3 linked regions of the Canis lupus familiaris genome follow. The protein of the gene in region 1 interacts with the protein of each later gene in a pairwise test. Links are inferred from orthologs where the notes say so. Each region holds a gene or a part of one and is shown in the gene's direction. Other genes may lie near its edges. The genes, in order: SYT6, ZBTB43 and KCTD9.

What was found.
Region 2: the proteins of SYT6 (region 1) and ZBTB43 interact in binary tests that used the Homo sapiens proteins (3 or more experiments, as listed by UniProt). The two-hybrid records come from large-scale screens. The link is inferred for Canis lupus familiaris from reciprocal best matches to the Homo sapiens genes SYT6 and ZBTB43.
Region 3: the proteins of SYT6 (region 1) and KCTD9 interact in binary tests that used the Homo sapiens proteins (3 or more experiments, as listed by UniProt). The two-hybrid records come from large-scale screens. The link is inferred for Canis lupus familiaris from reciprocal best matches to the Homo sapiens genes SYT6 and KCTD9.

The regions. Positions count from the first base shown.
Region 1 is NC_049238.1:52,397,855-52,401,488, reverse strand, and holds part of SYT6 (synaptotagmin-6), read left to right. Parts: intron 1-2,846; coding exon 2,847-3,018; intron 3,019-3,634.
Region 2 is NC_049230.1:56,548,384-56,552,661, reverse strand, and holds the start of ZBTB43 (zinc finger and BTB domain-containing protein 43), read left to right. Parts: upstream 1-1,444; 5' UTR 1,445-1,603; exon of another isoform or gene 1,604-1,626; intron 1,627-1,946; exon of another isoform or gene 1,947-2,555; intron 2,556-4,278. UniProt on the Homo sapiens protein: May be involved in transcriptional regulation.
Region 3 is NC_049246.1:32,166,304-32,170,547, forward strand, and holds the start of KCTD9 (BTB/POZ domain-containing protein KCTD9), read left to right. Parts: upstream 1-1,329; 5' UTR 1,330-1,478; coding exon 1,479-1,526; intron 1,527-1,898; exon of another isoform or gene 1,899-1,969; intron 1,970-2,216; exon of another isoform or gene 2,217-2,618; intron 2,619-4,244. UniProt on the Homo sapiens protein: Substrate-specific adapter of a BCR (BTB-CUL3-RBX1) E3 ubiquitin-protein ligase complex, which mediates the ubiquitination of target proteins, leading to their degradation by the proteasome.

The DNA.
Region 1 (3,634 bases):
TCTCCCTCTTGCAATTGACCCTCTTTTCTACCTGGGTTTGGAATCTACTATTAAATCTCCACTTGATTCTGGAAATTCAGGGGTCCTCTTTTTGTTGGGGATTTCTGTTTGGTCCACAGATCTAAGCAAATATCTGGAATAGTGCATGCAGCACAATATGCATTGAATAAATATGTTTTGAATGAATGGATGAATGAATTGACAGCATGAGGAGCCTTGTCAGAGGGCGAAACAGTGGGGGCATGTGTGCTAGGGGCCTCTCAAACTAGATCTCCTGTTTGTGAGGATGAGTTTGAGGTTGCCTTCAGCCCAGACTGCTTGGATATTAGGCCAAAGTAGGGAGTGAATGGAGCTTGTTGCCTCTTCTTGATTTCTATAACATTGACCCCCCAAACCCGAGGGTCTTCCTATTCTCCTCAATTTAACTAGTCATGCATCAATTCTTTAAGCCCATCCACTGGAACGATGACATAACACAAAATAATCAGAAGGATCAGGACACAACAAGGGTGGTGAGTAAGTAAAACCACCCATCTCCACCACATCTGGTCTGTACTGATTTGAGTCTAGTGGTTTAAAATGTAAATTTTGGAGTCAGAAAGACCTAGGTTCAAATCTGAAGCAAGTTCCTGAATCTCTCCAGCCTCAATTTCCCTACCTATAAAAGGGGATGATGATGATGATGATAGATATTTTACAGCATTGGTGGGAAGTTTAAATGACACAATGTATATAAATCTCAACACAATGCCCGACACATACTAAATGCTGGGCTATGATGGCTCTCATGGCAATGGGGCTGAAATGCACCACCTGCCTTTATGCTCCCTCTCTCAGCTACCTAGAACATCATAGGCTGTTAGAGAGGAAACAACCTCCAAGGTCACGTAGAGCCAGCATCCCACTGGAAGCCACCAACTTTTTGCTCTAGAGAATCCTAAGGAATAGGCATCTCTCTGCTTTGCCTCTTGGACAATCACAAGATGGATGGTTTCTTCAAGGGAGATACACCCACTGAATTTTATAAATGGATATGCCTCGTAGGAGTAAACAGAGTTGGAGAAGGAAGCTGAGAATTTCCCAGTCAGTAACAAGGCATTTGCCTAGTGGCCTCCGGGACAATTGGCTCTGCCATATTTTTCCAAGCCTAGTGACATGGGACTCTGCTGTGCTGTGAAAGTGCATGGAGATGGGCATGGCAGGCAATGGGGCAGCACTTGAGCAGCCACAAGTCCGAAGGCACTTTCCAGGGCAGTGTACACCTTATGGAGAAGTGGCTGTGTTAGTGATGGGTCTTGGAGTAAGCTTTACCCATCTGACTGCTTGGACTTGAACCCTGCCCTGGGCATATCCATAGAGAAGGGAGCCCACAGACAACCAGAGAAGTTGCCTCACAGAGGTTCTAGGAACTCTGCCTTCCTTTTTACTGAAAACACCTCCGAGAAAGGGCCCTTCCAAATGGGTCGTTGGAGACAGCAGGTTGATGAAACACCTGCTGTTTAATCACGGTCTCCCCAGGTCCCTCGTAAACCCAAGTGCCCCTGTGGTTAAGGCATAGCTGCCCTGTCTGTCACATTAGTTAGTCGGCAGCTCCTTTGAGAGTCTGCAGAAATGCCTTCAAGGCTTGGAGTTTCTGATCACGTGTCGGAGTCCTCCCTAGCTTCCCCATAGCTGGGTGCCTCAGCTGCCACCTGATCGATGCTCAGGGAGTATAAGGGCCTGATGGGTGCTCAGGTGCTCAGGAGATAGAACCACATGCCTGTGCATCAAGGCGTCAGGCAGCGGCCGCTCGGCCCCCGCCTCCTAACAGATCCTGTGAACCCTGGCTTTTGGGCAAGCAGGTATCTCTGTACATCAGTGTCTCAAAAGCTGTTATTACCTGCAAGTCGCCCTCCCATTTCTTCAGCTATGCAGCATAAATAACAATTATGATGGTGTCTAAGACACCTGTGCTATGAGATACAATGGATGTCACTTCACTTGGATGAGTGGAAAATTTCAGGGTAGAAGGATGACCACAAAATACCTATTCAGAAAACTAAAGAAGAGACAGGGATGGGAGACACGTGGAAGTTCAGTAAAAAGACATCTCCTCTGGGGATGGAGAGGATCCAAGATCCCACTGAGAAATGAAATGTCAGCCGGCTGCCCTGAATCTCAGAAGCCGCCTTACTCACGGCCCCCACCATAGCTCCCTCCTCCTCCTTTGCCCAGAAGTGGGCAGGAAATAGCTTCCGGGGAAGGAGAGAGCAGGGCTCTTCTTGATGCCAGCTGGAAATGAGCTTGTTGGGACAATGAGACCCATAATCCCGTTGTCAGGTAGGGAGGACATGAACAGTGCTGTGATTGTCGCTGTTCATTTACTCTGACACACTGCTACTCCTTGGGTGTCATGGGCTTCTATTTTTACCCCCCTTATCCTTTGGTTAATAATGATGACAAACCCCCAGAGAAAAGGCCTCCAAGTAGGTGAAAGGAAGAGTGTGACTTGTTCAGCTTCATCACCCTTTGGAGCCAGCCAGCTGTCATGGAGTGGGGATTTAGGGCCATGAACCGCATACCTATGGGCAGGTGTCCTGTCTGACTTGAGGCCATTAATGCAAGTCCATTAGGCACTCTCCCAATAATCCTGAGGTCGCTAAAGACTCTGTGTTTATTAAGCACGAGGTGTCCTCAGAGACAGGTGTGCTACATAAATACAAGGTGGTTTAATTATCTTAACAACCCACCGATACCATCGGATGAGCTACAATAGGTCTGTGGCTTCCATCCCTCTGTTGCAAATGATGTTTAAGGACATCTGGTTAACATGCTCCCTTCCCTTCCCATCACCCCCACTGGCACAGATCCATATGTCAAAGTGTCCCTGCTTTGTGATGGGCGGAGACTGAAAAAGAAAAAAACAACCATCAAGAAGAACACTCTTAATCCTGTCTACAATGAAGCCATCATCTTTGATATTCCCCCAGAGAACATGGATCAAGTCAGCCTGCTCATCTCCGTCATGGATTATGATCGGTAGGTGTGGGGCCCAGAGGGCCACAATTCCCTGCATCTCACCTCCCATGTCAATGCAGGATGGGCTTCCTGACCTCAGATCTTGTGATTCAGGGCCCGGGAGCCCATTGGCCTCAAATCTGGCTCCACTCAGGAAGAGTGCCGAAGTATGAGGAAGAGAATAGATTCCCCTGAGCAGAAGCTCAAGTTTTGCTTTCCAGGAGGCACATTTCCATCAGGGACCAACCCACCCATCAGTGTCCCTGAATTCACCCCTGCTGGGTCCTATTCCTCCCTCTAGCTGCAAGTCCCATCATGGATCCTCTCCATTTCTGAGGCTGTTACCATTCCCACTCAGGGATGGCCGTGTAGCCTCCCAGCTGACCCCTGCCTTCATCACTCCCTGACTCGAGCCAGCCAACACATGAAAGGCACACCTTCCTCAAAGACCACTTTTTTCTGGGACCTGCCCTTCTCAAGAACCATCACTGGTTCCCATTACCCAGGCCCTTCTCCTGGTTCCTCAAGGCCTCCTAGAATCTGGACCCAGCATAATTATCCAAATTAATTTCCCCTCCCTTGGATGTCTTTCTTCTCTTCCACTTACCCAAATCCTCTCTCCTGGCAAGGCAGGCTC
Region 2 (4,278 bases), on another chromosome or scaffold:
GCCCCAGCTTATCCTTCCTCTAAAGATATATTCCCTTTTGGGTCCCAACCTGATGTTCCAATTCGGCTCTCATCCTGCCTGGACCTAGGTAGGTGTTCCTATAGCTAGTAGTAACATCATTGTTTACCTATCTCCAAAGATGATTTTCAAAATACTTATCAGCATAGCACACACCCTAAGCAATCAGAACAGAGGCAGACTGTATCCCTGGATAACTTCTCAACTTCAACTCTAACTTCCTAGGCTTGCGTTTCTGCTTTCTTCCTGGCCTCAGATGATTTTTCCTGATTTCCTCACAAGTTTATCTACGTATTGAAAAGGGTGCTTTCAATATCTCTCCTCTTATTTTAATATATTTTGTTGCTGTCATATTTGAAGAGTCCTCGGTTTCGTTAGAAATAAAGTCTGAGGGACGCCTGGGTGACTCAACGGTTGAGCGTCTGCCTTCGGCTCAGGGCGTGATCCCAGGATCCAGGATGGAGTCCCACATTGGGCTCCTTGCAGGGGGTCTGCTCCTTCCTCTGCCTGTCTCTGCCTTTCTCTCTCTCTCTCTGCCTCTCATGAATAAATGGATAAAATTAAAAAAAAAAAATCTGAGTAAGAAATGTTAGGCACATGTAATAAAATATCCAGAGGTAAGCTAGAACTGTAGTTTAATGTCACATGAGACCTAGGCTCTTTCAATCTTTCCATTTTGCCAACCTTAGCATTTGCTTGTCCCATCATAGGCACGTGATGGGGACTGAACTTCCAACCTTCAAGTCTGCTTAGGGGAAGGAAGAGAATAAAAGTGGCAAAGCACTTGAGCATACTCAACTAGAAGTCCTACTGGACTTTCTTTTCTTTTCTTTTTTTGTTTTTTTGTTTTTGTTTGTTTTTTCTTTTCTTTTTTTTTTTTAAGTATTATGGGCTAGAAAAAAAATAAAAATAAAAAAGTATTATGGGCTAGGAGTTGGTCACATGACTATGCTTTGTCTAACCACTTGGCTCATGAGATTACTGTGAATAGTTTGGACTAACCATGAGGCATTCCTCCTAGTAGCAGTGAAGATCTACCTCCCCTGAGATCAAAGGGTCTCTTCTGGGACCTGAACAAAATGAGGTTTTTCTTAGAGGGACCCAGCACAGCGCCTGGCACAGATGGAACTGTTCCTGTCCTTGTACATTCCCTGAGCATCCACTACGTGCCAAAGGCCCTCGGAGACAAAAATGGATTCGACACGGCCTCTGCTAGGCAGCATGAGAGAGATCAAGTCTGAAAAGGGGTTAGGACTCGGTGTCAGCTCCCTCATTCCCAGCACCGGCCTCACCCGGAGTCCCTGAAGACAACTGACCCGCGCCAGGTTGCACTGCGCAGGAGTAGGGCGGCAGCAGCGCGCTCCCCTCACGCCCCGCCCCGCAGGAGAGTCCCGCATGCGCACAGCGTTTTCTCTCTGACGCACCCCCGGAAGCACTGGCAGTTTCGGGGGCGGAACCGGGAAGCGTTTCCGGGGGCGGGAGGTGCAGGCTGAGGCGGTCGCGGCGGCTACGGCTTGAACGGGCCTGTCGCTGGCGGCGGAAAGTGTCCCGCGGGCGGGTTATGTGAACGCGGAGCCCTTAGCAGGTACGGCGAAGTCGGGACGACAGGTAGCGAGGGGACAGGGAGGGCAGCCGGGGAGGTTTAAGGGCTTCCTCCGCAGGTCCCGGCGCGCGCGCGCCCCCCGGCCCGGCAGGCCCGTTCCGCAGACCGGGATGCTCAAGAAGCCGCGCTCGGGCGGTTGGAGTCCCCGCGCCCGAGGCCGACTCCTGCGGCCTCCAGCCAGCCCGGTGCGCGGGCCGCGACACCCAAGGCCCCCGAAGCAGCGTCTCGCCCAAGGTCACCCCGCGGCGGCGGACCTCGGCGGGCCGGAGCGCTTAGAGATCCCGCCTGGGAACGTCCGCCGGCCTTTCGGGGGCGCCGTGTGGGTGCGGCGAGGCGGCCTCGGGTTTGAGCCGAAGCCGGGAGACAGGCAGCACCCGGCCTTGGCTGGTGCCTGCCTCCGTTTGCTTCTAAGTAGTGTTTCCCCTCTGTTGACGTCTCTGTCACCTGTTGTCACCTGCCCTTTCTGCCTCTGAACTCCGCCACTATCGACTTTGTATTTCTCCCCAGTTTCTCTTGCTGAGCACACATCTCTATCTGCACCCCCCCCCCTTTTTTTTTTTTCTTCTTCTGTCTCTACTTTGCTTATGTGACTCTTGACCCTGTGTTTCCCTCTCAGTCCTCACTCTCATTCATGGCCTGCCTGCCTGCCTGTCAGCCTTGCTCTTTGGCCGTCTGTGTTTCTGCCAGTTTTGTGTCTTTCTCTCTTGTTTGTGCGTCTCCTAACTAGGTTTGTCTGGGCGGAGCAGGGCAGGCTTGCCCGGACCTCTGAGCCATGCAAAATGACTCATGACCCCGTGAAGCTTCCTGCAACTGGTGACAGTCTCAGTGACTACACTGCAGTCTGGCCTCAACTCTGACAGGTGCCGCCCAGCCCAAGTGTGCCGGTGCAGGAACGCCTCGTGGGAGACAAACCAGAGACCATCTCAGGGCCAGAGTATCTTGATACATACTTGTCTTTTTTTTTTTTTTTTATGCATGGCTTTCTGGCCTGCACAACCCTCCACTTCCCTTTGCTCCAGCCCCTTACCCCAGGATGGCCTCCGGGGCTCTCAAGAGCCTGCTCTTTGCGTTACAGCTGCTGAACTAGACCTGTCCACAGGCTAAGGAATAGTCAGTCTAAGATTCTCTGCCTCATGGGGCTCATGGAATAGCAGGATTTCTGAGAAAGCTGTATGCATAGTTCAGAGATTGTGTCAGTATCTACAGTTAAATGATAAGAAACCTAATAATTTGGGATTCATTCTTTTCTTTACTAAAGTACTCACCGGAGAAGTAAACCAGACACAAAAGAACAAATATCTTATGAGGCCACTCATGTGAGGTATCTAAAATAGGCAAATTCATAGGGACGTACGTAGAATATAGCTTATCAGGGCCTGACAGGAAGAGATGGAGCATTATTGTTTAACGAATACAGAGTTTTAGTTTGGGATGATGAAAACAGTTCTGGAAATGGATAGTGGTGATGGTTGCACAATGCTGTGAATGTGCTTAATGCCACTAATTGTACACTTTAAAATGGCAAATTTTATGTGAAGTGTATTTTACCACAGTACAGAATAAAACCAAACAACCAAACAACCCAAACTGCTCTTTGGAGAAGCTTGGAACTAAGCAGCTCTTTGAAAATGTGATTTTAAAAATTTATTTTGTGTGTCTTTGGAATATTTAGTTGAACCTACGTTTGTTGATACCTGCTTTTGTCATAGCTAATGTCCTCAGAAAAGGAGTTCAGTTAAAAGAATTTGCTTAAAATCTTCCCTTAAGCTTTCTACTTGTGGCAAATTCCTGCCCTGGCTCTTCTCCCTCCATGTTCTTGGATTCAGTGTAGGCATCTGCTGCAGACCCATGGGAAATTTGAGGAAAGATTTTACTTTTTACATAAAGAAAACTTTAGGGTTGGAAAAATAGCCCTGTTATTATGATAATGCAAAATTATGTGTCATTTCCTGTGTGTTTTCTGATGGGGGAGGCCTTTATGTTACGTTCTCTTATTTAAGCTATCAGGTTGCCAGTATGGTAGTTTTTCAAGCTTTCTTGTGAGATATTGCAGCTGAATTAATACTGTATTGAATCCTAATACCATTGATTGTTTTCTGTACCACCAAAGGAGAAAAAAACACCGTCAATTTAGCTATGACATGTGCTTTTTTAATCATTTAGGCTTATAAAAATTCTTAGTGAGAAAATATTTTTAGACTTATTTAGACATTTTTAAATGACATCATTCTAATGCTAAATAAAAAGAAAAATAAGTGAAATAAATTGGCTAAAGTGTTTGTTAAATTTTTAACATTCCTACTCTTTTTGAATACTTCTCAGTTCAGAGTTGGGTCCATACTTTTCCAGTGTCCTCTTTTGTGCCTTCAGAAACACTGATGTGGCTCTCAGGAATGCTCTATCATTGTCTCAGGCAGTGACAAGCATTAAAATTTCCACTTGGCCATCATATCCTGATTGCAGAAATTTTGAAATATGCCTCTTAAAATCAGTCGAATGTACTCTACGTTTTTATGAACTTTTATTTTTTCCCTTTTTTTTTTTTTATGATAGTCACACAGAGAGAGAGAGAGAGAGAGAGAGAGAGGCAGGGACACAGGCAGAGGGAGAAGCAGGCTCCATGCCGGGAGCCCGACGCGGGACTTGATCCGGGACCA
Region 3 (4,244 bases), on another chromosome or scaffold:
GGTGTCTTGAGAACTTAAAAAAAAAAAGAGAGAGAGAGAGAGAAATGGAGGAAACTGCTGTTGGGGATCAAACAAAGCAGACCCCACACTAGAAGTCATGGCTTTTCAGCCTTGGCGAGCATCTGCATCGTCTAGGGATTCTGTTAAAGGCCCAGCTTTGCGGATTCCCACGGAGTAGGTCTGGCCGGGCTCCAGGCGATGTGCACTTTAGAAAGCACGCGGGGGACCGGGCTCAGGCCGCAAGAGGAGCCGAGTGAGGAAGACCACGCTCCGGAGAAACGCCCTCCGGGCCGCCCTACCTCTCACTCCCGCAGCCCGGCCCTGCTCCCACCGGGCTTATCCGCAACGCTCCACCGCAGGCTGAGTGTCGAGCAGCCGCTGACGGGTCGCTCGAGAAGGCGACTCCCGGACGCCAGAGGCTGCCTCGTCAGGCCCGGGGAACCCCGACCCCCCGACCCCCGCCGCCCGCTCCCGACCTTCGCCGTCGCCGCCGCCGCCTTCGCCGCCCGCCGCCAGATTCAAATCGCCAGCCCCGCCCCCTGGCCCCGGCGTTGCCCCCAGCGGATCTCTACGCCGCCTCTGTTCACACGTGTCCACGCGCACCCCGCACTCTCCCGGGCCTCTACCTCGTCGCCCCGGCACCCGGAGGGGCTTCGTGAGCTCCAGAGAGGCCCCCGCTAGCTGCGGGGGGTCGCACCGACCGCAGAGCCGCGACTGCTCCCCCGCACCCGGGGGACTACTTCCCGTGAGAGTCTCGCGGAGGCACCCTTCGGTTAGGCCTTTAGCCCCGCCCCCCCCGCTTTTCAATTGGACGCTGCGAACTTCGAAAAGAATCATTGGGCCAATCCTGGCAGAACGATGGGCGGGCTCTTGCCCAATCAGCCAGTCCCGACGGCAGCCGTTTCGTCCGCGGTTCCCGAGAGTGGGAAGCGGCCACCGCGACTCGTGTGCGTCCCCGCCCGCGCTCCACCTCTTTCCCCCCAGCCCCGCCCCCTATGCAGATGAGCGCTACCTGGCGTTGGGTTTGCGCGTGCTCAGTAACGCCTCGAGGCGCCGCTCGGCTGCAGGTTGTGCTGATTGGCTGATAACCCTTCCCGTCTGCGAGGCAGCAACCTCTCTTCCCTCCCTCCACCTGGGCTGGGTTAGGATGAGCCCACCCAATGCAGGGCGGTGATTGGCTGAGTCCTGGCCGGAGCTGCCGCTTGATTGGTGGAGCTTAGAGTCAGTCCGGGAGAGGTGGGGGAAGGGTCCCAGGCTGGCTGAGCAGCCCAGGGGCGGGGTGGGAAGGAGGACCGGCCGAGCCAGGGGTGTGGGACCGGGAGTGCGTGCTAGTGTGTCTCCCTAAGAGAAGGAAGGTGGCGAAGGGAGGAGAGTCCGCGTGGGTGGAGGGAGGGGAAGGGCGGGAGAAGAAGAAGGTGGGAGGAGAGCCAGGTGGGAGGGTGGCGGCGACTCACTCAGGACCCAGTGGGGGCAGCGCGATGAGGCGGGTGACCCTGTTCCTAAACGGCAGCCCCAAGAATGGAAAGGTAAGGGGGTCGGGAGGAGGCGGGCCGCCTGCCCCGGGAGAGGGCGGCGCAGCCCGGGCGGGCCGGCGGGGCAGAGGCTGAAGTTGGGGAGAGGGGCTGGGCGGTGGGCGTGCGCCGCGGCGGGGGGCGCCCGCGACGGGAGCGGCGGGTCCGCGCGGCCTCCTCCCCGCCCGCGGGGCTGCCGGCCCCAGCCCGCCCCTCGGCGCCCCCGCCGCCGCCCCCGCCGCCCCCGGGGCCGCGGCGGGTCAGCTCGTGCCGAGCGGCTCCCACGTCCAGGTGCGCGTCCTGCAGCGCGGGGGCGGGGGCGGGCCGCCGCCCCCCTTGGCGCCTCGCCCCCGGCGACCCCCGGCGACCCCGCCGCCCCCGCCCGCCCCCGGCTCCAGGAGGGCGCCCGCTCGCTGCCACCTTCGTGCTGAGTAATGCTCTGCTCCAGAAAGTGAGAGGTGAGCGACCGAGGCAGACGCGGAAGGTAGAAGGAGGAGGCTTTATTTGGGGGGGGGGGGGGGGGGGCACGGTATTCTTCTACCCTAGGTGCAATAGCAGAATGAGGATGAGGGACGTTTCCTTGACGGTGTTCCCACCTCCGTCCTCTGGGCGCCCTCAGCCCCGCCGCCGCCAAACTTAACGTGCTCACTTTTCTATTTCGCCTCGTTTTTTTTTTTTTTTTTTTTTTTTTTTTTTTTTTTATAGTTCTCTAGGGATTGTCACAGTAAGTAGACCAGAAGTGGGTTGATTGGACACGACTCGTTGCTGTGTTAGGCCTTTGTTGAGGGTGTGGTACCAAATATTTGCCCGCCCCCCCCCCTCCAAGGCTGAAGCCAGCCAAAACGAATCCTGTTCCTTCTCGAGTCTCTTGCCCCACCCATGAAAGTTCGGCTCCCTTTGGAAAATTTGACTGTCCAAAGCAGACATTTATGATGTGGCTAAATGACATCTACAAAGGACTGTGCCTTACAGGCTAAGGTGAAGGTAAATTGGCCTCACTGGAGTATTGGCCAGAATACAGTACTTTATTTCCCGCATAGTTTGGAAACAGTACGTCTTTAAATAGTGTAATTGTGCCCCATTATTTTAGAAAAAAAAAAAAAAAAAGGCTCTCCAGCTACTCTGAGATTTTAAATAAATCTGCTCCAAAAATTTGAACCACGGTCTAGTGTGTTGACTATAATTTTCTGATGTTTCTGAGTGTGGAGATCTAATAACCTTACGAACGACTGGCGTGTATTCAAGTTCTTGAGTTTTCATAAATGTTACTTCAAAATAGACTTCTCAAGACTGACTTCTGACATCAGCGTTTTCTAAACCTGTTTCGTTAGCTGCTAATAATCTAAAACTTATATTGGTACTGGGAGAAAAACAAAAAAAAACTTCGTATATCCAGACGGTTGTAATATGTTCTCAAAAACAGACCTTTGACATTTTTATCCAGCATCTCTTTGTTCCTCTCTAAAAACAAGATGTTTGGACTAAGTCATAGATATTTGACTATGCGCTAAATCTCCTCTAAAACCACTGAATTTTGTTCTTTCAAAGCTTGGCTGTGTTAGTCTTACCATATATATATTTTTTAAAGTATCTGGTCTTGACTAGGTTAGGTTAGCCGTTTTTTAAATAAAATTGTACTTGTTTAAAAAAAAATAAGTTGTACTTGTTTTAAAAATAATTTCTAGGGAATCTCAAAAGATTGGGAAAATTACATCGCAAGTAAATAAAGATAAATATGTTTATACTAGTAGTAAAGATCATATGAAGATCCAAGCTGGGGCAGCCCTGGTAGCTCAATGGTTTAGCGCAGCCTTCAGCCCAGGGCCTGATCCTGGAGACCCAGGATCGAGTCCCATGTCGGGCTCCCTGCATGGAGCCTGCTTCTCTCTCTGCCTATGTCTCTGCCTCTGTTTCTCTCTCTGTGTCTCTCATGAATAAATAAAATCTTAAAAAAAAAAAAATCCAAGCTGGAAAATTACTAGTATGATTCAATAATAGTAAAAACAAGTCATACTATAATTCTTACTACTCAGAAAACATACTCTATGCCAAAGTTCTGTTTCCTTTCCTCTCTTTCCAGCTGATTAAAAAATATATATATGTACTCTAATTACTCTTGTGTGACAAGAGTCCAGAATAATACATAACAGGTTACATGTTTGTATAAATAACATGACTAAGCCAGAATTGGCATGATCATGACATGACGTTCATGAAAAATATGCTGAAACAGAGCACTACCATTAGAGTTTGATATTGGGATATCTGTCACTTCCATTATCCCTTCTTGACCAAGCTTCTGATTTTTCTTCTTCGTCAAAAGATGAGTATCCGTTTTGTCAAATAGGTTTCCCTCCTGTAATGCTTCTTCAGTGGTTGCCAGACTGGGCCATAAAGCCTGGGCTTGGAGAGACACAGAGATACTGCAGGGAACTACATCATATGCTTTCCGTGACTTTTCTGTATACTGAATAAACATAAGTGTAACTAGTGCATGCTTCGGTGTTGTAGAGAGGGCTGTGCATTTTCTAAACCCGTGCTTTCCATGGTGCAATAGTACACCACAGAGGGTGTGCAAGAGGACCCAGTAGAGTTTAAGAAGAAATACACTTTTTATATTTTTACTTAGAAATCTAAAATCATTTTAAAATGTGGTTTTTCAGTCCATAAAGACACAAGTGCTTTCAATTACTCAATGTGTAGCCTGTAGGCTACTCAGTAGCCTCAGGTCTA